2 linked regions of the Caenorhabditis elegans genome follow. The protein of the gene in region 1 interacts with the protein of each later gene in a pairwise test. Each region holds a gene or a part of one and is shown in the gene's direction. Other genes may lie near its edges. The genes, in order: sol-1 and sol-2.

Region 1 (13,601 bases):
CTGTCGTCTATTTCATTCCCCAATTGGTTGCTAATGCAGCTTTATAATAAACAGGAACCCGTTTCATTTGTTATCTTAATTCTATAAAGCTTTTATTTTTTGTTTTTTTCTCGTATTCTGAAATTTCTTCACCTGTATTTATTATCTCCACAACCAAAGGTAAGAAAATCTAATATTCACTGTGATACAAATTTCTCCGAATCTTAATTCCAGAATGTCGGAAAACATTTCCACCCCTGATGAAAAAACAGAATCATCCACGGAATCAAATTCTAAAATACTAAAATGGTGCAAGAAATATCTACTAGAAGGTTGTTCTTTTTTCTGAAAATATAAATAATTTTCCGATTTCCAGGCCAGCAGCTAGATGAGAAACATGCAGAAAAAGTTCAAAACTTTCCTGAAAATCCAACAGTTTCTGATTTCGTTTTTATTAAATACCGAAAATTTGTAGCAGTTTTGATACCGTTCTGCTTTGTACATGTTGGTATTTTTAGTAGTTTTTAATTGCTGCATAAGGTTCGTGTTTTTAATATATTATTTTCATTTGCAGGTTTTGTGGTGGAGCACGGCAATCCGTTACAACTTTTTCCACCTCTACAATGATTATTGGCACATGCCAGTTACTATGATTTTGGGTGCATTAGTAGCTGGAATGACTGCTGAAGGAGCTGGAGCTGTTGCATTTCCGGTTATGACATTGATTCTACATTTAGCACCTTCAATTGCAAGAGATTTCTCTCTTATGGGACAATCTATTGGTAAGGCTGGAATGGAATGAGTCGCTTTGCAGCATTGTGAGAATATTGATTTTTCGTTTCTGGACCGGTATTTATTAGGAAATATGCATATTCATCGAATGAGTTTACTGTAAAAATTGTTACGAATTTCTGTTTTATGTTTCTGAACACATTTTTAAAATGTAACACCTGCTCAAACATAGAAAAGTAAGTTTTCTAGAATTTCTACAACTAAAAATAACATGACTGAGCAAAACTTATGCAAATTATGAGAACAAACTCGATACAATTATTTTTCTCAGGAATGATGTCTTCACTTGTTTGCGTGATTTTTATGAAGGTTCAGTACGAATCAATGGCTGTGATTTTTGGAGTACTTGGTGCTATCCCGGGTTTCATTTTTGGAGTTCATGTTGTAAGTTTGTTCATAAAATTATCCTCTCCGTATTATCCTCTCTGTTTTTTTGCCCTAACAGTCACTCCATTGCAGTTTGACCCTCTCTTCACTGGAGCACAGAAGAAAATGATGTTCGTATCAATATGGACCGCATTTGCTTTTGCTCTCGGACTACTGAATGCTCAAAAAAAGAGGCCGACATTTGTCAAAATTCCAGAATTTTGTTTCTGGAAAGGTCTTCTTCTGTTCTTAACAGGTATTGTTGGAGGAGTCTTTGACGCATTTGCTGGAAGTGGAATTGATATTTGTATGTTTTCAATTGTGACCCTATTATTTCGAGTCAGCGAAAAAACAGCTACACCCACAACTATGATTTTGAAAGGTGAGAGAATGTTTGTAACTCCTAGAACTAAGTATTCCTTTAGCCTTTTCTATCAAAACTTATTTGGAGTATACTTGACACAAAAGTACAATAAAAAACTGTACAACTTTAAGGAATCGTCTCTGTGTTTGGGTTCTGGTATCGTGGGGTTATGATGGGAGACATATCGGAAACTGCATGGAATTATTTTGCTGTAACAATACCAGTAGTGGCAACAATGGGTAAATGAAATTCCCTCGAATTCTGATGTTTTACACCACTTTTACATTGTTCATAATTTAGCACCAATTGGTTCATTTCTTGGATCTCATCTCCATCGACAAGTCATTGCGGGGCTCATTTATGTGTTAGAATTGGCATCTTTAATTGGTTTTCTGCTCACAAATCCCTCGTGGGGACTGATTTCCGCAGCAGGTACGTTTTCCCTTCTCAAATTTTTTCCGAGAAAACCAGGATATTTCAGTTACAATAATTCTATGCGGTTTCGGTTTTTTTGCACTCATTGCCAAGTCTGGTGAAATTTTGATGAGAAGATTGGAAGAAAATAGTGAAGAAAAACAGGAGAACTTTGAGATGGTTGCGTGAATTAATTAGTTATTCTTGTGATATTTTCCTTGGTGTTTATTTATTTATTTATTGGAAGAAAATTCTATGAAACTTTTCCTTGTTTTAAATAGCTGTTATGTGTTCCTCAAAACCTTATTTTGAAGTTTTAACAAAAATAATAGTGTCTGTGAGGATTTGCATACTGTTTTTGAACAAATAAAATTGAACAAGAACAAATTATCTTCATTTTAAGGTATGTTCAATTTTCTGATGCAGTCACTTTCAGAAAAGAATGTTGATTTTTCCATTTCTCTAACTTTTCCTTCAAAAACGAATCTCAAAAAGTCTTTCTACATTTTTAAAAGATTTGTTTGTTTCACGCCCTGTTTTCCCACGTACTTTATCCGCTTAAAGTGCCCACTTCAATGGATTTGTTTTTCACTTTCACTTGTAGTAAATCCATATGAGTACTACATCATAACTCTTCCTCCTTTTTTCGACTTCTTCTTCTTTTCTTTTTTTCTTTTTCCGGGTGTTGACAACATCGTCATGATCCTATTCAACAATCTTCTCCTCCTTTTTTAACACTAAACTAATTTCACATCGGGAGCCTCCAGATTTGATTCTCCACTGGAAAGAATCTTCAAATATTATATTAAATTGTTCCGTTTCCAATCTCAAATATTATGTATAGTGGGGAAGATTGCTGTTTGGTTGCAGTTTCGTTTCAGAAAATAAAAATTTTGAAAGTTTTTGATTGAGCAACTCCATTCAATTTTGAAGTTTATTCGAACTTTCCAACGGATTAGGTAACAAGTTGATAAAAATTTAAATTAAAAACGTTAAAATAAAATATTTTAAAATTTGTTTGGTCAAAAAAGATTTTTTTTTGTATTTGTAAGTATCATAACGAACTTTGTGAATTTCAGAACAAAATCTACAACATTTCGGTATAACTAATATTTTCCAAACTAACAATGTTCCAGAAAATTTTCCTAATAATGTTTCTAGTTATTAAAGAAAAATAATATTAGTAAAGGAAAAGTAACCATTTCATGGATCTTTTTTAAAACCAGATGTAACAAACTGACAGCAAAGCTGCCAGGCTTAAACTTGAATTCTCCACGTGGTGATTTGATGTTCTTGAAAACAAAGAGGAAAGTGTACTAATTCATTGTTAGAGGCACACTTTTCACTTGACAAGTTTCGCGCATTTCGAACAGTGGTCCTCCTTTTGACTGATCCTCTTCATCTTCAGAACTATTTCACCAAGTTCTCAAGACACCCATTAAAGCCTTCTTTGGCACATACGAGAAAAAAGAAAAAAGTTCTTCGAGGGGGTGGGACGTATGCGTCGCGAAAAGTGGGAGGACCCTGGAGCAACTTGGAGCATTGTCACATACACAAACCACATGGCCGTCATTTTTAGCACTTCTTTTTTACAATCGTTTTCTTATTTTTCAACATTTTCTGCTTCTTAATTTGGATGTTGAAAACCTTGTTTTTCATATTCATTTGCCCAAAGGCGTTTGCTTTTTAAAAAAACCCTACGGAGCTCCGTCTCGAAACTGAATTTTTGTTTCACTGGATTTTTCCCTATTTTCCAACAGTCAGTATTTATAAATGAATACCATTCAAACTAAACCCGAACATAATATGACAGTATTTTCGTAGTTGAACTTTTTTCATTGAAACCAAAGACACATGCATCCAGTGGCTTCAATACTTTTCATCTCCCGTTTCATACTCGTTTGTCTTCATTTTGAAGTTGAAGACCTTGTTTTTCCTGTGCCCATCGTCCCAACACTATATCACTTTCTCACATCTTTTTGCCTTTTGTTATGACTACTTTTTCAAAAAATATGGACACAGCGACGGCTCTTTTTGTTTCTGTTTCCTTCATTTTCATATGTTTCTGCTAAACCTACTAATCCTTGTTCTCTTCATCCTTTCTTCGTGTACTTGCAACATCTGATCAATGGGTTTTTATTTCCGTTGTTATATAGTAGCTGTCGCTGAAATTTATATATCAAAATTTGTCAGATGTTTAGAGCAAAAATTGTTTTTATACACAGATTGCTGGCCAATTTGAAAATTAAAAATAAATAAAAATTTCAATTAAACTACTGTGCCTGTTCTCGTTGTTTTCTATATTTAATCTCTTAAAAACTTCTAAAGGTTTCTTATTGCTGAAAATATAAATATAGGATATCCGTTTCCCCAATTTCAAACTGCGGACATTGACACATTTGAGTGGTCCATTGATGTTCTGACAGATTTGTCAAATACTCCTGACGTCTCTAGTACACAGCTGAGAGCCTGTCTTCTCAATCACAAAAACATTGATATATACGTTCGTTTTGAAAATATCTTCTTTTTGTTTTTCTACTACGTCTCAAATATCTTTAAATCTGTTCAGTAAGTGCTGAGAGTGTTATTTTTATTGGCGATACTAAAATTTTTATTTGATTCATTTTTATACAAGAGTACATTTTTGAGAAAGAGGGAAAAATTTGGGGATCAGTTTTGCTGGAATATGGATTTTTGGTCTTTTATTAGATTTTTAAAATATGTAAGTATTACTGTTTGATACATGTAAATAGAATAGTGCTTCTTCTAAATAATTAAACAAGTACATTATCACAGATACTTCAGTGACGAAATTCAAATCATGAAACTTCAACCTGTTATTCTTACAGTCAATTTTTTCACTAGTTTCGCGGCTAGTAGTTGTAACACAATTTGCGAGTTTGATACAATTTTCGAAAAATTATCGATTATTATTTTCACAATATCAGAGCATTCTCAGTTTTCATGATATAGGTGGCTTCTACATTTTCGTTCCAATGTTTGACACCCAATATCCCAATTCTAATTTTCTATAGTTCCTCCAATTAGATGTTCTCCATTTACTCTTCATTATCTTTATGTCTGTTTGTTCTTAATCCACCCTCACCCATCGTTTCCCTATTCTCTCATTTTACCAATTTCCGGACATTCTTCAAACGAAATTAGTCAAACTTTGCAGGTTTTGGATGATGAGATGATGATGTCTCCGTCAGAATGTGTCGTCGAGCCGAAGATCTTGTGCTTCTTCTGATTCCGATCCTTTTTGGATATTTTTCTCATGCATCGGAACATGAATGCAAATGTGTGCTATTTAATGTGACAAGCGGGAATTTTCATTCTCCGGAGTTTCCGGCCCCTTTGGAAGGTGTCCCCTGCCTTTTTTATCACTTTCAGGTTTTGTTTTAATTTGAATTTGTTTAGTATAAAAGAAGATATAATAAAATTGCCGCCAACCCCGATTATCAATAATTTCAGGCACCACCGGACCATATAATTCGATTGACTTTCGATGTATTCCAGTTACCGCCACGAATTGGAGTGTAAGTTTAAAACCTTATTTTTTGAAGAATGTCTTGAATACAATAGAGTTTCCGGTCTAACAATTTCATTCTTTTGTTGCAGTTGTTCATCTTCAATTATGCTTTTCGACCATTCAACCGATGGACTTATCGAGTTTGGAGAACGAGCTGACTTTGAGTTTTGTGGAAAAGAAATCTCTTCGGGACGTCAATTCTTTTCAAAGTAAGCTCGATTTTTTTCTCAATGCCCTCCAAAAAAGCCATTGAGAAAGTATGGAAAGCGTCAAGTAATTCGCTTCAGGGACCAGCACTTTCTACTGCAAATTTCGAGTGGAAAAGAGTCATCGCGTGGATTTCGGGGATCGTTTTTAGCAATTCCTAAAAAAAACTTTACAAGCGATGCGGTGGAAATGGCAGAGTGCAGTTATAGAGTTGAAAAGCAAAAGGTATAAAGATATGATTTAAGTTCGGAGAAATTTTTTTAAATACTAACTTTCAGGCAATAATATATTCACCGGATTATCCATATTATTATCCATCAAAAGTCAATTGCACTTACCATATACCTCAAAGAAAAGGATTTCAGGTATTTTCTGTTTTGAAAAGTAGTGGTTGGGAAGAATTTCATGTTAATACATATATTCGTTCAACTCTCCACCACGGGAAAATTTTTTTGCAAATTTTTTCGTCCCAAAAAAAAGGAAAAAAAAGGGTCCAGAAAAAAACAAACAAACATTTTTGTCGCAGTCACCGATGACTTAGGATTTCCTCATCCTCCCAGGCTCAGATGAGTTCAACTCTCCACCACGGCCAAATTTTTTGCGAATTTTTTCATCCCAAAAAAAAGAAAAAAAAAGTGTTAATATACAGTTAATGATGATGAAAATTAGCAAAATTAATTCCGTATGAAAAATTTATTGCGAAAATTCGAGAATTTATGGAATAATTCCATTAAAAATGCAAATTTCGGGGCGAATTTTAAACTCTATTCTTCGTATTTTTCGACTTTAACTTTTGAATAATACATATTAAATATATTTACCCGTTTTAACTTGTTTTTCTTTTTTCAGATAGTTGTAAATTCAATAGTCATGGATATTGGCCGTGATGCAATTTTACAAATATTCGAGTCTGTTGAAGGAAAATTCGAAAAACGTCTCATTGAAATGGTGACATCCGTCCAGAAATCAATTTACGTCTCGTCGACCTCCTCGTTGTTGATTTATTTCTCAGCTGGGAATAACGACGTCGAACGGGTTCGTTCTCCTTTTTTGCACTTTTTTCCGCACGTTCTTGAAAAGAAAAAAGTATGTATACGTTATTGGAAAATTATTCTGCATTCTGATGTTTCTAAAGTGGGGCTTTGTACCTGAAGTTAACCTTGGATTTGGCTTCAAACTGAAACCTATGTCACAGATCCAAAAGCATATTTTCTGAAATTTTTTTGTGATTTCAAGAATGACAGGGATAAACATACATAATGCAAATTTTTTGGCAAGATTGAATTTTTTTGAAAAAAACTATTGATCCACTCATAAAATTGAGAATCTTTGCCTTCTACGTAAGTACTATAAATCGTTAGAATTATCTAAAATCTGTAAAACAGCTTTTGGGGTACTTTTACTAGCCTTGAAAATAATGAAAAACAAAACCGACAAAATTTTAGAACGAAATTTATCCGCTGTAAAGTGCTCCACTGTAAATCCAAATGAAATAGGTTTTCGGTAATAGGATCAAATCCATTATCAATTCTTCTAATTTTGCAATAGCCATGAAAAAAACAAATTCATCCCGAAATAAACTTCAGAATGTAGTATTTTATCTAAAAAAAAACGTTACAAAATGAAACGCGAACACAACATAACCACCAGAGATTCAAACATTAAAAAGAGAGCAAAATAAAGTAGTGACATCAAAATAGAAACATTGGAAACGTGGGATCCTTGACGTTACACTTCCCTTCACTTTTACAAAGATCTGAAATCAATTTGGACAACACAAAGATTCAGAAATCAGACAACTGATGACTCAGAAGTAGAATAATTGGGAGAAAATTTTTAAGTTTCCGTGGAACGGGACAAAAACAAATTAGAATTTGTCTAGTGTTGTCATTTTTCATTTAAAAATAGTGTTAATTTAAGGTAGCAAGTTATTAAAATGTATAATTTATCATATTATTTAGGTTTTGGGAAACAAATCTATTTTTAATTGAAGTTTGTTCTCTGAACTATCAAAATGTTTCGAAGATCCTTTTATCCCTAATATATACATCTGCTCTAATTGTAGACATGTCTATCAAAAAATCGTTGAGAAAGAAACAACTCCTGCTCAATTTTTTAAACACTAGACGAAAGTTTGTTTATAGACATATTTAAACCTACTTTCGTTGAAAGGAGACATTATTTGAACTGCCAGGATATCAACCTAAATCAAGTTAAAAGTTGAGCAGCGTCGATCTGGTTTTTGGTTTCAATGAAAGAATATTGGTTGGAATGATGGAAAACAGTTAAAATATTTAAATTTTCTGATGCGTTCCTTTTGCGACATAATGTCAAGCGTCTGATCTATATTCGGGAAGTAGGGTGTGTGATTATTCGATAAAATTGGCAAACCGAACTTATCTGTAAATTTTCTTCCAGTTATTCTGCAATAATTGTATTATATTAATTTTGTAATTGTATTATTGCCAAATAACATCAACCAATTCATCTGAAAGACATGTTAGAATTGTGCCAGTTCTCCTTACAAATATTACCACATTATAACCCAATTGCCAGGCGCCGGTCTTAGGTTCTGACGGCGTTGATAAGAAAAGTCGGCAGAATTTTAACATTTTCTCTTAATAAAATTGGTTGCTTTCGTGATATCTTGGACTATGATGAATTCAAACTTTTAATAAATTTTTTGGAGCAAAACTATATGAAAACTTACAGATTAGTTAAATTCTCCAAATTCTCCTAAAAGTGCCTATCATTTTGAAAAGAAACCCCCCATTGACTTTCAAGAAAAAAAAGCAAAAGTTTCCCCCAGTTGAACACGAGCACAAACCTTTCAATTCAAAACTTTTTAATCAAAACGAAAAAGAATTAAGATGTATCAAAAGCTTCATTTCATTAGCCTTAAGTCCAAAAACTAATCGTTTGTGCAATTCATCTCATTTCCTAAATGATGAGTTGTTGTTGAAAGTTTAAACCACTTGAAACCCTCCTCATTTTTTTCATTTTTTTTTCTACTTTTTCTTGTCTCCGGTTGTGTATGTGTGTCTGTGAGTGTGTTGAAGCAATTTAGGCAACAGGAGGTTGTTGTGTGTTGCAGGCCGTTGGCTTCGTAATCGAATTGCAGTACTCGAATGCGGTTTGGAGCCAATCTCCGGGTGAGTTGAGTTGTTGTGTTGAAGAGCAAAAGAAGGGGGTTAGGGGGAGGAGAAGGAGGAGCAGAAAAATGGAAGGAGGAGAAGCTTAAAGAAGGAGAAAAAGGGTGAAGCATACCTCCCTTTTTACTGAATCTTCTCTTGATTCTATCCTTTTTCATTCCTTTTTCATTCCTCCATCTCTTCATTTATTCATTCATTTTCTATCAATTCCGTCTTTTTGACGTTCCCCCGTTCGCTCATTATTCAGCCCCTCTTTTGGCACCAAACTCTCAACCAGGGCCTTTTCAAATTTTTATGCTAAAAATATTACATGTGATTTTCATTATACTTCTTGAGCATGTTAATGGTAAGTATTTTGATCCAAGGGTTGTGCGGTAGAAAAATACGTTTTGGAACAGTGATCTTATTTATGGAAAAGCTTTTATGAGAATATAATCATTTGCAGCTGTAGCATGTCAGTTACGGTGAAGGGGAAGCTTACTTAAAAATATTCAAACTTACCAAAAACGCCAAGACTTCGCAAAAGAATGTCGAATAAATCTAGAAACTCGCTTGATTTCTGCGAATATTCAATTTTTCCTAATCTCATTATTAAAATTTTCACATTGTTGTCTTTAAATAACTTTGACCCAAGTTTTTATTTTTTCCTTATTTTTTAGTATTAGATGAGGGAAACAAGTCTTCTAATTTTAAAAATTTATAAATTCTTTTGCGAATCCAACAACTTTGTCCGCAACACAAAATAAGAATTTGGGTCAAAATTGAAAAAATCATAACAAAAAATGTGAGTGGTTGAGATAGATAGCGTGGTAATTGGAATAAGAATATTAGCATGAGTTTAAAATTTAGCAAAACCAACCAGTAACATTTTTACAAACTGAATGGAAGTGCAAACTAGTCGCTCACTAGGCACTGCTCATGCTCTACAACCAACAATCAGGTTTCTTACTTCGAATATATTTTTTCGAGGATTTTTTAATAATTACAAGTGTAAAATCACAATTGAGCTATATTCAAACACGATATCAAGGAATACATTCATCACTTGCGAGAAATGCTCTAGATCTGGTCGTACACTATTCAAGTTTAATCTCTCATAGCTTTTTTTGCTGGATTTTTCAGAACAAAGTGAGTGACAAATGATGGCAAGCAGTATGCAGACTATTTTACTTCAAAAACATTTCTAGAAAAATTAGTTTTCGAGATACGGGCGAATCAGTAAAAGTTGTCAAAAAACGGGCTCACGAGATGTCGGCCGCTGTATTTCTTGTAATGACACTGGTAAACAACTTAAACAACTGACTACAAGTAGACGTAATTATGGACAATACTGCATTAGTTGAACTTTTTCGATAGCATGCCCAGTTTTTAAGTTGTGCTCGTTTGAAAAATTTGTAAATTAATCAAAAATCGAAAATTTGATAAATTTTTGGCCGCCACTGTACAACTTTTGATTTCTCAAATAGTAAAAACTATCGCACAACCCAACTATAAATTCCTGAACTTCACAGTCATATCTACAATCTCAACAGTTTTTCAAACTACAGAAACAGCGTCCGAATGTCAGCTGAACATCAACTCGGAAAATTTCAAAGAAGGTCAACTATCATCTGATAAGATTGGACGATTCACTTCATCATCTCTTCCAACGAAATGTCAAATTGTACTACAGGGATACCCAAATGAGAAGATTAGTGTAAAATTTACACATTTTAACTTGTATGTTCCGGATAACAAGAACGTTACCAAACGGTTAGTTATGAAAATATACAGTTCATTGTAAAAGCACCTTATCTTCACATGAAGATAAGTTATTAATTCAGAAAAAAAATTAGAAAAGGTTTTTTATGAAAAGAATTGAAAAAAATAAAACCGAGATCTACCCTGGAAAATTGTTCATTTTTTTCAGTTGCACAGAAGTGGATAATCTGTCTGCTGATGTTCGAGTGGGGTCACGTCTTTCAAGAATTGATGAATGGTGTGGTAAACGAGCTCCACCCAATTTGATGAGTAGTTCAAATCTTCTACAATTGGAATATAATACAAAGGTTAGTGTTGAATTAATTTGCAATTTTACCAGTAAAGTTTTTGATTCTATCAAGATTGAACTCTAAAAATGAAGCTGCTCTAGAGCAAGTTCAACCAAGTTATGAAAGATTTCAAACGTTATCTAGCAAAAAACAAAAGGCTACTTTTAAAAAACTTGATAATTTAGATCGTTTTTATTTTCATAATTTCAGTCATCAAAGGCTATTCGAGAAAGCACAAATGATGATATTGGTTTTCGATTAGATTACAAATTTCATACTGACTGGAATATGGGAAATATGAAAGCAAAAGTAGATAAAAAGAAAGGTTTGATCACATTTTGTATTAATTCTGTAAAATCTTTTATTGACAGAATGTCGCTTCTCATTCAATTCATCAGAGCACACAAATGGGAAACTTTGGTCTGCAAACTATCCAGGATTGTATCCGAGAAATTTATATTGTGAATATATATTCCATGGAAGAAATGATCAAGTTGTTCATATTCATTTTGAATATTTCGACATTGAAGGTTTTAACCAGTGAGTGTTTTTGGTTATATGAAACATGTTATATTTACCTACCAGTTTATGAAACATTAGTTTTAGTTAAACCACCTAACGAAGGGTGAGAAAAAATTAAATTAAAAATTTTAACAATTTTTCAAAAAAAAAACCATCTATTTTGAATACAAGCCTGTATTGTTGTCTTAATTTCCAACACTTCAAAAATTATGCTATTAATTATCATTTTTAGATGCGACGAAACAACTCAAAGTGATTATATTCTATTTTCAAACTATCAGACTCATGATCGAACGAATCGTCGTTTTTGTGGGAAAACAGCTCCAAAAGGTCCAATATTATCAGAATCCAATTACTTTCGAATGATTTTCTCAACGAATGACATCTTTGATGCAACCGGATTTTATGCACATTATCAGTTTATCACTCAAGAGAAATCTCAAATCAGTCGGGTCAAGCTCACGATATCTTCTAGCCAAACTCCGTTCTCCTCATTTTTCCTTGTGATATTATTGTTCACCTTTCGATACATTGCCAACATTTTTTAGCTGACTTAAATACATTTTTTCGTGTTTTTTTTTAGTTTTTATAAATTTGTTTTCTTTGTTCATTTATTGAACACTTTAATGTTTTCATTGAAAACAGTCAAATTCAATTCAAAATGAATTTAACTTTCTCTGGAAAAAAACTCTTTTGGATTTTAGAAATATGGGTTAAACCGGGAAAACGCAAACGTCCATCTTCCTCAGCTTACTAGAAAAATAACTATTTCGCATGCAAAAACAGGCAAGGAAAGCTTTCTTTTCTCGAAAAAGTACCTGAAATTCGGAAAATCGGACTTGTATCAAAATCAAAAACTAAAAGATCATACATTTATTCAAGTAAAGGTTTTTTCATTAGCATTATTTTGTTCCTTCTTGTCATTTCATCTTATTTCTTATTGAGCTGCACCTGGACCGAAATCCTCGTAACCATCGTCCATTTTTGTCTTCTTCCCGTCGTCCTTCATAACCATATCCATTCCACTTATCTCCATGTTCTGAAAATTATGATATTAGAAATTTTAAAGTGGAAAAATGATTCAACATTAGTTAAAAATCAGTGTATATTTGATATGATTTAACCTTGCTTGTTTTTTCCTCTTCTTTCTTCTTTGGCTGTTCCTTTGGTTGTTCTTTTGGTTGTTCCTTCAATGGGGGTTTAGCTATATCCTTTACTACATCCTTCGCCTGATCCTTAGGTTGCTCCTTAGGCTGCTCCTTTGGTTGCTCTTTTGGTTGCTCTTTTGGTTGCTCCTTTACCAATTGATCCTTCGATTGTTCCTTCTTCGGTGCCTCCTTCTTTCTCTCTTTCCCAACATCTTCTTTTGTCATTCTTAAAACATCCTTATCATCACGTCGTTTTTCTTTCTCATATTCTTTTGGATCCGTCGATGTCACGGATTTTGAATGCGTGAGAGTGGAGGTTTTCTTCTTGGCTGTCTTCGTCTTTGATCTCTTTTTCTCCGCACCTTCTTTCTTTGTATTCTTGCTTTTGTTGCCCATTTCAATCCTTATTGCAATAAATCGAAAGTCTACAATAAATCAAAATATATAAGTTGAGCAGAAAAAAAAAATTACCAACAAGTTCTTATGTACAGCTTCTAGGACCTAGGTGGAAATAACCACAATTTTTTATAAACTAGGCACGTTTGCATAATGATAAGTCTCACGGCAAAACCATATTGTTATTAATTAATTTAAATTAATTAAAATTCCACTTCTCAAAGGACAGTATGGAAATTTCACGAATTTTCAAATTGACTCGGATAACGTGACTTTGTGTAATTTGAATCGAAACATGCTCGATCGATAGAAAGTTGGAGAAATGTCCACGCAGCCCCAATTTAGTTTGCTATGGCATGGAACACCTCAAAGCGTGTATTACTATTTTCACACAAAGCCTTCTAAGGAGGCACATAAAAATTCGCCTGCCTACCTATGCCTACTGTTATGTTATCCGGAAATTATATATTTTTTTGATTTTCGAAAGAAAATTGATGGGAAAAGATTAAATATGTAAATCTACGCTATGCAAGCACCAACCACTGGCGACCGCGCGGAAGTTCTGAAAAAAGTAGGCGGTTGGTAGGCAGGTAGGTGAAGGCCTGCCTCCTAGACACAAAGTTGTACACACTGTTCGCGGTGAGCTAACAAAGAGAGAAGCTCTAATCGGTAAAAAAATGTTGCAAACAAACTCACTTT
Region 2 (10,874 bases), 7.3 Mb from region 1:
TGAATTTTTGTGTCTTTGTGAGGCAAAAACACACAATTTTCATAAATTTTCACATAAAATATGAGGCTTTATAAGGGAGGTTACTACTCTCGAAAGTAGTAAGTTACTCACTACTACTAGTAACTTCAAAATGTACATTAGTTATTGAAAATTAGTGCGGCAGTCTCCGGTAAAACGACAGTTTCTAATACTGCGAAAGTCGCAAAGGGCTCGGAAATCAGTGCGGCATGCCGCTCCAATAGAGAATATACGGTATCTATAATTCTGCAATCGCTAGAAAGACAGAAAAAAAAAAATCGAAGATAGGAAGGAAATTTGCCGCACACCCCTGGCAGCAATACTAATTTTCGAGGAACAATTTTGATGTAATACGACAAATGCAAATGCAAAGCTTATAGATGCGTCAGAAAAATACGGTATAAAACTTTCAGGTAGAACGAACATCGTTGCTTTGTTAAAAGACATTCTGAACGAGAAATCTCGTAAAAGGCTAAGACATTTGAACATCCGAGGAGCCGGATTAATTGGCTGTGGGTGGTCAGATAAAGTATGTTATTTTTTGCTCCTCGTTGACAAATCGTTCTCCGTTTTCAGCTTTCTGAACTTTTTCCATCTCTCAAAACTTTAAACGTTAGTAATATATTATTTGAGAATGACGAGTTATTGCGTTTATGCGTTAGTTTTCCCAGTCTGTGTGTTCTGGATATCAGTGGGACAAACATCGCGAGTCTACATGGATTATCCAATTTGAAAAACCTACAAGAACTCTCAATAAGATACTTGGAATTTGCAAACGCCAATAATTTGGTGGATTTATTCCAATTAACCAATTTGAAAGTACTGGATATGTCGAAATCTAAGTAAGTACATCGTTTTGGTGACCAGATTGAAAAACAATAAAACAAGATTTCAGAAATCTAGAAACATCAAAAAATGTTCTGAGATTTGTGGAGTGTGGCATGAACCTACCAGAGTTGAGGGTTTTGGATTGCAGTGGGACTGATATTGATGAAGAGTTATTTGCAAAATTGTTAAGTTTTCTTCCAAATCTTCAACAAATTGCGCTGATGGGTAAGTTTCGGTTTAAAGATGGCGTAGTCGAATTTTAGACTATGGTTTAAAGCATTATCTTAACCAGGGATGCGCGTGTAATCTTTTTTGCCATGAAAAAAGAAACAAGAATTCTTGTTTAAAAAAGCCAAGAAAGATTCAAGAAAGTTTTAAGAAACCAAGAATTTCAAAACACACTTTTTTTAAAACAAGAATCACAACAAATGGTAAAAATACGGTTAAACCTAATACTAAACATAGCCTAAAATTTCCGAAAAGCAACAAATTAATGATATGATCGTCCGAGAGGCGCTCATTTAAGTGCTGAAATCAAATCGGATGGAGCAAGACAATTATTTTCGCAACGTTGACGGCTCATAACTTTGGTCAGCGAAATTTTTGTGATGTTTCGCTTATAAATATTGTCTTGTCAGAGTAATGCAAATATTCGTTTTTTAATATTTCAGATTGTCAATTAAAGCATGCAGTGTTTTCCACCGAAATTCGAGTTCTCAACTCAGCAACATTAGAGACTTCTTTTCAAACTCTCAACTACTACTCAAAATTGAAAAAGAGTGACTCGGTTATGAAGTGCTTCCAGGATATTTTCTTTCTGTTGAAAGAATATTACACACAAAACAAGGAGTATGATATTGCCGGGTGTTTAGCAATTCTTATCCGAACCATGGAACAATTTGTCACCCATGTTCAGAAAACCAGAGAATTTCTTTCTTTTAACCCCTCATATATCACAACTTATGCAAGCGGAATACTCTGCGTGACGGAAATTGTATCGTATGTTTTACACATTCTATTTTGCTTACTATAAGGAACAAAAAATGAGATGCCAAACTTTAAAGCAATAGATTTTTGAGGCACCGGAGACATTCTAACGTTGTTTTGATATCTGTTAATTACCACAACTCAGAAAACTAGCCTGAAAGCTAAAAACGATCTGAAAAATAGGGTAATCAGAAAATTTCAAAATTCAAAATGTATAAGTTTCAAGCAAATGTGTTTTTAATGTCTATCATACAGAAACAATGCTCAAAGACTACGTCCGGTATGTGCAGTGACGGCGCTCCGTGTTCTGCTTAATTTCATCCACAATTTTGATCACCTTGGCTCAAATTTTACACAATACCTCAGAAATTCAATTTGGAGTGCGATACAGACCTTAGTCACCCTCGACTTATCCATCATAAACTACGACGATGTTTGTGATGCGGCAGTTTGCTGTTTGGCAGAAGTTTTTGATACATTTGACATCGCTGTTCCCATATTACAAGTTTTAGTGTATTGTTTTCCCAGGAAACGCGATAAATTCAAGGTTTCGAAAGAGGGAACTATAAAAGACTCCAAAATCCTTATTAGGAACCTACATTTGTGTATGAAATTTACTCCATATTATACTCCGTTATGCCAATCCATCATTGACATAATTTTCTGTCCAATTATGGATGATCCACAGACTTGTCTTCATATAGTTGAAAATAAGGGAGCCAAAGATTTATTCAATGCCATCAACAAGTTTGACAATGAACCTTTACAACTTGAAATTCTTCGCATATTGAAAAGATTGGTGGTTTGTGCGAATGCAAGTTTCGAGAATTTCATAGAGTTTAATGTTAAGTACTTGAAGTGAGTTAAGCATTTACACACTATTAGACATTCCCCTTAAATTTATCATAATTTCAGAAAAACATTCAACAAATGGAAGTCAGACAGGCTTTACCTTCTGCACTCAATCTTTTCGATTCTTTTGAATCAAACACGGCGAGGTTTTCGAAATTATGTGAATCGACTGTTGAGAAACAATTATCATCGACTGGAAACAAGTGAAATTGTAGATATCGATTTGCCAATTTTCCATAGCTTATTTGCGTCAACACAATTTGATGGGCCTATCCTTTGGGCTCTTTTTAAAATAGAAAAGTTCTTAGAGCAACACGATGACGGCAGAAGAATTGTGGAAAAATTCAATATACTCAACTTGATAATCAATATCAAAATAAAGTCGAAACTGGTGAAAGTCGCTAAAGAACGAATCTTACTAATTCTTAAATAGTATTAGAAAATCAAACAAAGTTCCGGCTTCTATACCCGAGAAATCAAACAATTAAACCCTTTCATTACCAATTTCAAATAAATTTTCAAAATTAAATTTCTATCGATTTTCGAGCCAACTCCATTATTTCTATTACCCATATATGGTATACAAACTAAAAAAGGATAACCAGGCTCGACACGACAAGTTTTTTGTCAAAAACAAAAATATGTGCGCTTGTAAATAGCACTGAAACTTGTTATCGCCTAAATTTATGTTTTCAAAGTTTTCACGTTGTTCTATTTTAAAACTATTAGGAGTTTCAATCCTGAAATTCCATTAAGCATCTTGATCCTGAACACACTGTAATCTTTACATTTGCTCTATCAGCCGACTTTCCAGCCGTACAGCCCTGATCCTGATACCAGTGTCACTTATGTGCGATTGGAGAAGATTTAGAAAGGAATCGTAGAGTTTTAAAAGTCTTCTTTACTAACTTACGGGCGGTTTATTGGAAATATTACGGGCTATTAGGGAAGGAGCATGGTGCCGATATGAAAAAGCATAACAACTAGAGACCCTAAACATTCAATTTTATATTCAATTATTCAATTGTTTTCCTTCATTCTTATGTGTATCATGTTTTGCATTCTTTTTTTATGACCCGATTATAAAATCGTATTGACATATATAAATTTAAAAAAATTAGTTAATTTACAGTTAATTGTTTCTCGTTGTTATTCAATTGTTACTAGGAAATATAAATTTCATAACTTTTTCGGAAACTTCTCTCCCAGAGTAGAGAAAAGGGAACAAATAATTAGATTGGCAGCAGCAGCAGCAGAAGCTTCTCTTAAAGTGAATAAGTGGACGGAGGACCGACTGAAGAAGATGAGACTACCAATTAGGAGCAATTGGAGCACATGCTCGGAGCTGCAAAGGATACTACTTTCTATGGAAAGCTTTCTGCAAATTGAAGAATATTTAAAGGCTGTAAATTTTTTTTGAAGTTTTTTATTCTAGCAGTTGAAAACGAAAGAATCGCAACTGTAGAAAAATTTCAGTTAGGATAATTTCAAACTTTAGTTGTAAGAAGGATAAACCAAGATATGGGCGGAGCTTGCAAAACTCCACCCATTTCCTGGTTCAAAATTTCCAGTTTCTTTTCAAATTGAGTGAAGATTGTTTTATAAGAAAACTTGAAATTTTTGAGCTACCCCCCACTTCTTGGTTTCCCCTCAGACTTATGAAAAACCTACATTTTTTCACCGAATGTTTTTTTTTCCAAATCCAAAAAAAGAAGACGTTCATTTTCTCGTAGACTAATGTATTTTTCTGCCAAATTTCCCTGCCCCATTCTGCTCTCTCTCTCTTCGTTTTCCGTTAAAATGAAGAGCACCCACCAAAATGAAGGCGAAGAAGCAATTCCATCTTCTCGTCCTTTTCCTCTCTCAATTTTCGGGCGAGTGTATTCAGATGGAGCAGCTGAAGAAGAGCACACTCTTTTCCTTCTGAAGGTCCCTCCAAAAATGGATAAGTGGACAAAGAAGATGTAGTAGAAAAAGGAGAAGAAGATACATCGATTTTTTATTTCAATTTCCATTTTTTTTTCTCTTCTGCATTTTTTTTTTCTACATTTTCTAGTCTTTTAAGCCAAATATAGGTTTAGCTAGGCTTTCTGTTAGGCTTAGACCTAGGTTTAGGCTTAGGCTTAGGTCTATTTTGAACTTTTTTCAATGCAATTCCCGATTTTTAAAAAATATTTTTTAGAGTATAATTTTGCCACAAAATATTGATGGCCGAGCATTTTTTTTCAGTGGCCGAACTTTATATGTTCGCGGCCACGTGACTTGTATCTCATTTGATCTTTTCTTTTTGGTGTTTCAGAAAATTTAAAACCTTGACCTACCTGATACACTGGCCGTGAAATTGTGAAAACTCGGCCACCAATTTTCACGCGGCCACGTGGCTCTTCCAAAAAACCAAAAAAAAATTGGACAATCTCTACTTTCTTTTCAAAATTTGTTTCCTTCAAAAAATTATCTTTTCTGTCCAAAGAACAATAGAAAACTTGAAATTTCTGGAAAAAACAAAAACTAATTTATTTCTAATTTTTCTGTGGGGATTATTATTCATACCAAATTTTTCTATTTTTTCAGATGGTAAAATGATTGAATATCTGTTATTCATCATTATCAACGTCATCACACTGATCACATGCTCATATTGTCCCATAAAGCATATTCATTCGTCTACACCCACTACAGGTGAGCTCTGGAAGTTTCCATAGAACATTAAAAAAAAATGGTGCAATTGCAGGATTCATTGAATCTCCGGGATATCCATCGGCATTCTCTGCACCTCTTGACTGTATATTCAACATAACAACAGCTGCATCGAATGTGATCCAATTATCATTTGTCTCATTTGATCTAGCATCAAAAAATCAATTAAGTGATCAATGCCTGGATAGTTATCTTCTGGTTGTTGTAGTTGATAGACATGGTAGACAACATGTTGGTGAGAGGTTATGTGGGAATCAGGTTCCACTGTCTATTAATACTATGCAATCATGGATGCAAGTTCAATTCGTCACTACTTCAACTAATCAGAAGCATCGAGGGTTTAGGATTCAGTACAGGATTCTTTCGGAGGGTAGGTAGAGCTGGAAACTAGTATAATTTTTTTCAACCAGTTCTTTGTAGACAACTTTTCTATCTTGTTTCTTTTCAATTTCCCATGCTTCTTGCGAAGTTCTAGCAAATTTTCCCTTTAAAAATACCATTTCCAGCAGCAATCCAGGAGCCATCTTCAACCCTCGGAGAATCAATGTTCAGTGGTTGTGGTGGACATTCCACTCCTGGACAACTTTCTGGTGAGGTTTTAAGAAATTTGTAAATTTTTGCCACATGGCTGCGTGAAAAGTTGGGGACCAAGTTTCCTATTCTCGCGGCCAAGGGTGTCAGTGTCCCGTAAAAATTACAAAAACGGGACAACGGGAATTCCCGTTCCCGTGAAAACGCTCAAAAACGGGACAAAAGACGTCCCGTTCCCGTAAAAATGACAAAAACGGGACAGCGGGAATTCCCGTTCCCGTGAAAACACCCCAAAAACGGGACAACGGGACAAACGGGAATTGACACCCTTGCTCGCGGCCACGACACCTTCATGTTTCGAAAAATTTTGAAGAGGAAAAGTGCTTTAATTGGTGGCCGAGGTTTGTTTCTTTCTAGGCTACGTTGCAAAAACTGTTACCTTACTACGTGGCCGTGGAATGAAAATACTCGGACACCAGGTGATTTTTTTTTTTGAAATTTCAAAATTTCAAAATCTATAAAACTATTTCTGTAATGGTGCGTCCATAGTCTGCGGAAAACGGGAATTTCCCGCGTGCGGAAGCGTCCATAGTCTGCGGAAAAACCGTAGTTTCCTCGCTTTTTTTTCCTCAAAATTCAAAAAAGTAGGCGTGGTCTTTTTTCGCTTTCCCATTGCTCAGCTTAAAATTTTACAACCTCTAATTTGTTGGACACGCCCACTATTTTGAAATTGACCAATAACAAAGCGAGAAACTCCTTCTTTTTTCCGCAGACTATGGACGCTTCCGCACGCGGGAAATTCCCGTTTTCCGCAGACTATGGACACACCATAAGAAATTCAAAAAACTTAAAATCTGAAACTTCTACATTATACAATTATAATATTCAGGTGAAATACTGTCACCAGGCTATCCAACCACATATCCGAAGAATTCCACGTGTAATTGGTTGATCCGTGTAGAAGCCCGACAACGAATCTACATTCGAATAGTTCATTTACACTTGGCCCCCACTATTGCAGAATGTGAACGAGCATCACTAACAATAATCGATGGATATAAACATGAAAAATATGGAATTGATCGAAAGGAATCCACGTCAGAGACGTCTGAAGCAAAATTCTGTGGAAGTCAGCTGTATTATGCAGAAGAGGGAATGAAAAGCTATTTATCAAGTGCAAATCGAATTGTTGTACGATTTATTACACAGGAAGGACCACCGTCTTCAATGATTGGGGAAGAGAGGATTGGATTTAAAGTTGTATGGACTGCAGTGGAGGGTCTGATTGGAGAAGGTGATGAGAGTGTTAATGGAAATTCTTGTAAGGATCAATTTATGTGCCATGGGGGACAAGTTTGTGTTGAACAGGTTTGTGAAAAATCAGAATGTTTTCAATGAATCTATATGTAGTTCCTTGTTATTTTTTAGAAATTAACTTGAATCATAAATTCAAAAAAAAAGAGTTGTTTAATTACAAAACTTTTTATTTAATCCAAAATTTTGGGTTAGTGTAGTCACTAAAGTACGCAAACGGAACTACAGTACCCAAAAACATCCCATTTCACGACATTTGCTAGTTTCGAGCTGGAAAATTGATTTTTGAACGGGAGAAAACATAAATTCGACAGTCTGAATATTCGAAAAAAAAGGAGAAATTCTAAAGTTGAACAGAACCTATTTAGAATAAATTTTGTTTTGTAAGAAAAATTAATTAGCCTTTTCGTGATTTGTATTTTTGATATTTAACAAATTGAATTGCCACAATGCTGAAATCCATGTATTTTCAATTACTTTTTTCTACTTCAGGGTCATGGAATTTGCGCTTCACGGTCCCGTCTCTGCATTCACAGCTCTCTCGTTTGTGACGGAATCCATAATTGTGTTGAAGGAGATTTCTCCGACGAGCAACACTGTAAGCTCATTTTCCAGTAAAATCCAAGATCTAAAAATTTCCAGGTTACTCCCGAGAGATAATAACATCGGCGGCACTCGGATTCTCGTTGATTGTGCTCACGATGCTCGTCTTGGTGTGCTGTGATCAGTTCAGGAAGCGGCGACGGCTTCGGGTGATGATTCGGGAACGAAGAGCCGCGTCGGAGAATGGGAAATGTAAAAATATGAATAATAATTCGATTACAACACGGATACAGCCGAACCGGTGACTATTAGAGAGCGAATTGTGAATGTTTTCGCGATTCGCTCGACAAATTTATCGAATTTTTCACAATTTTATAATTTAAAATTGCTTTTCAGTTAATGTAACGGAGCTTTTTTCTTTTATTTTTAATTTGAAACTTTAATAAACATTATTCAAACATATAAATTATTTACTTTCGACAATTTTCAAGTGTTTTGCCTGGCAGAATAGAAAGAATTATGGAAATATTAATTCTTTATCAGCGGGAAAGTAAAAGAAAAATAACGGCAACTCCGTGCGGCGATATTGCGAAAACCGCGCGCGCGCATTGCAAAGGGGCGGAGACTCGTCTTTTTGTCATCTTTTGTCATCACTAAAACTAACTAAAACAAAATTTTCTATATCTTTCGCAGGTTTTCGCTTTTTTAACGAGTTTTCTCATTCTTTCTATGGAAATACTGATGAATGTGTAGAGTTGGTCGATATTGGGACCTGTGAAATTTATACTTTCAGCTCAGATGTTATTCTTCGCTGTTTCTTCTTAATTTCTCTTTTTAATCACTTGAAACTCAATTATATCTTTATTTCAGCTCACTTCAAGCGGGAATGTCATCACGAGGAGTTCGAGCGGCGGGTACCGATGGGACGGACTTCCAAAATCGGCAGAGGGTCGCACAGCACTACCAGGAGAGCGCTCAATACAAGTCGATCCTCAAGTGGTTCTTCGTTCCACACTTCTTGATCCTGGTCTTCATGTGGCTCAAGGTTGGCAGCGAACTCCTCCGAACAAATTTCGGATGGAAAAACGCGTTCTTCGATCGACTGGACATGCCGTCAGCCTACCCATGGGAGTATGTGTGGTGCTTCTCATTCATTCCGATCGTCCTCGCCATCTATTCGTTCCAACGAAACAAAGTAATTTATTTATTGATCAATTTGCCACAAATATAACTTCTTATTTCAGCTCAAGATCCTCCACTACGCCTACTATGCCGAGTTCGTCGTCGGAATCTTCCCATGCATGATCGGGCTTGGAGGACAACTTCCAGAGCTGATGGAGTATGCTCAAGACATGGAGGGAAGCAACACACCGACATTCAAAGGAATCTTCCCGATGGTCATCATATGGTACATCTTCTTCGCGGTCGCACTCCAGATTCACGGATTCTCCATGTACTTCATGCATCACCTTGCCGCCGCATGGGCTCCAGTCAAGCGAGATTAAATTTTCTCCGTTTTGTGATATTATTTTTCAATTTTCCCCCATTTGTTGAGTTGTGTACCTTTTCCTTGTTAATAGTATTTTTATTCAAATTCCTGCTAGTCTCTATTGCCAAATTAATAATTCCATATCTTTTATTTATTTTCTTACTTTTTCTAATTACCGGTTACTGTTCTACAGTTCCGTTGATACTTTTCTGTTTCAATATTGATTGCATTTGTTTCATTTTGTTAAATCAATTTTCAGAATCGAACTCCAAAGATGTGGGGCGAGACATTCGACGATTTCGAGAATGACGAAGGAGAGATGGCAATGGCCAAGCAGAACCTGATCGCCGAGCCGGCTCGAGCTGATTTCACTTTCGCGAAGCTTCCGTTGGGAATCCAGCCCGTCGATTTCATGAAGACTCACTTCGCCGAGACCGCCGGAAAATCCATGCAATTCCGCAAAGGAACCACCACATTGGCGTTCGTCTACGAGCCAGCAACTCCAGCTGACAAGGGAGGAATCATTGTGGCTGTCGATTCACGAGCCTCCAGTGGTGAATACATCTCATCCAAGTCGGTCATGAAGATCTTGGACATCGGAGATCGTATGGTTGCCACGATGGCTGGAGGAGCTGCTGACTGTCAGTTCTGGACCCGAATTGTCGCCAAGTACTGCACGTGAGTTTCAATATTTTCAGCTTCAAAACAAAAATAATTATTTATTTTCAGTTTGTACGAGCTCCGCGAGAAGACCTCAATCACCGTGAGCGCCGCGAGCAAGTACTTTGCAAATACGCTCTATGGATACAGAGGACAAGGATTGTCAGTTGGATCGATGGTGGCCGGATACGATAAGAAGGGACCACAAATCTTCAAAGTCGACTCGGAAGGAGATCGTTGCCAGCTTAAAGTGTGCTCAGTTGGCTCAGGATCTCTGAATGCCTACGGTATCCTCGATAATCACTACAAGCCAAAGATGACGGACGACGAGGCCAGAAAGCTCGGCCTGCGTGCGATCATGCACGCCACTTATCGGGATTCTGGATCCGGAGGCGTCTGCAATTGTACGTGAAGCTTTTTGCTCGGCTATTCCACAAAATGGACCATTTTTCACTAAAAATGGCTTTTATTTTGTCTAAAATTTAAATTTTAGACGATTTTTATTCGAAAAAATTCTTCGGATAAATGAAAAAATTGGTTCATTTTGTGAAATCTCCGGCCACCTTTAATCTAATCGCTTCTATTTTTCATCCTCCAAATTTCAGTGTGCCACATCACGCCAACCGAAAAGATTCGTCTTCCACCAATGGACGTGAGCAAGCTGTGGTACGAGTTTGCCGATGAGCTCGGCAGAGATATCACCTACAACCCAGTCGAGTGATTCAATTTCCCTACGCTGAAATTAATTTTATTCTTCTTACATGTATTTGATGTCTGATCCGATCCCGATTTTTTTTACATACACACCCGTCTTTAAAATGTCATTTATTTCTATTTTTCGTTTCCAATTAATTTATTCTTCTTTTGCTAAATACTCTCTGTACATTAAGTTCTAAAGTTTTCAAGTTCGAAATCCCGAATTTAGGCTTAGAATTTAGAATTTCCCTCGACAACA

Evidence for each region.
Region 2: the proteins of sol-1 (region 1) and sol-2 interact in a protein complementation assay, tested with the Caenorhabditis elegans proteins (one study listed by BioGRID).

Annotation. Positions count from the first base shown.
Region 1 is NC_003279.8:7,387,411-7,401,011, reverse strand, and holds sol-1 (Suppressor of lurcher protein 1), read left to right. Parts: upstream 1-5,093; 5' UTR 5,094-5,128; coding exon 5,129-5,308; intron 5,309-5,389; coding exon 5,390-5,454; intron 5,455-5,536; coding exon 5,537-5,656; intron 5,657-5,734; coding exon 5,735-5,879; intron 5,880-5,932; coding exon 5,933-6,019; intron 6,020-6,503; coding exon 6,504-6,689; intron 6,690-8,748; coding exon 8,749-8,806; intron 8,807-9,319; exon of another isoform or gene 9,320-9,421; intron 9,422-10,353; coding exon 10,354-10,558; intron 10,559-10,715; coding exon 10,716-10,854; intron 10,855-11,046; coding exon 11,047-11,161; intron 11,162-11,207; coding exon 11,208-11,376; intron 11,377-11,590; coding exon 11,591-11,906; 3' UTR 11,907-11,963; downstream 11,964-13,601. Other genes in the region: C15A11.4 (uncharacterized protein), read left to right, coding at 215-311, 356-483, 554-761, 1,043-1,155, 1,231-1,519, 1,633-1,740, 1,802-1,933, 1,983-2,104; C15A11.2 (Protein PXR1-like), read right to left, coding at 12,296-12,397, 12,483-12,902.
Region 2 is NC_003279.8:14,719,122-14,729,995, reverse strand, and holds sol-2 (CUB domain-containing protein), read left to right. Parts: upstream 1-5,256; 5' UTR 5,257-5,264; coding exon 5,265-5,364; intron 5,365-5,416; coding exon 5,417-5,752; intron 5,753-5,888; coding exon 5,889-5,972; intron 5,973-6,802; coding exon 6,803-7,281; intron 7,282-7,719; coding exon 7,720-7,825; intron 7,826-7,869; coding exon 7,870-8,075; 3' UTR 8,076-8,230; downstream 8,231-10,874. Other genes in the region: K05C4.9 (Protein zyg-11 homolog B), read left to right, coding at 436-547, 595-860, 914-1,071, 1,518-1,845, 2,089-2,691, 2,749-3,118; K05C4.10 (uncharacterized protein), read right to left, coding at 3,865-4,063, 4,357-4,700; K05C4.2 (Protein jagunal homolog), read left to right, coding at 8,657-8,965, 9,015-9,275; Proteasome subunit pbs-5, read left to right, coding at 9,534-9,937, 9,989-10,323, 10,525-10,640.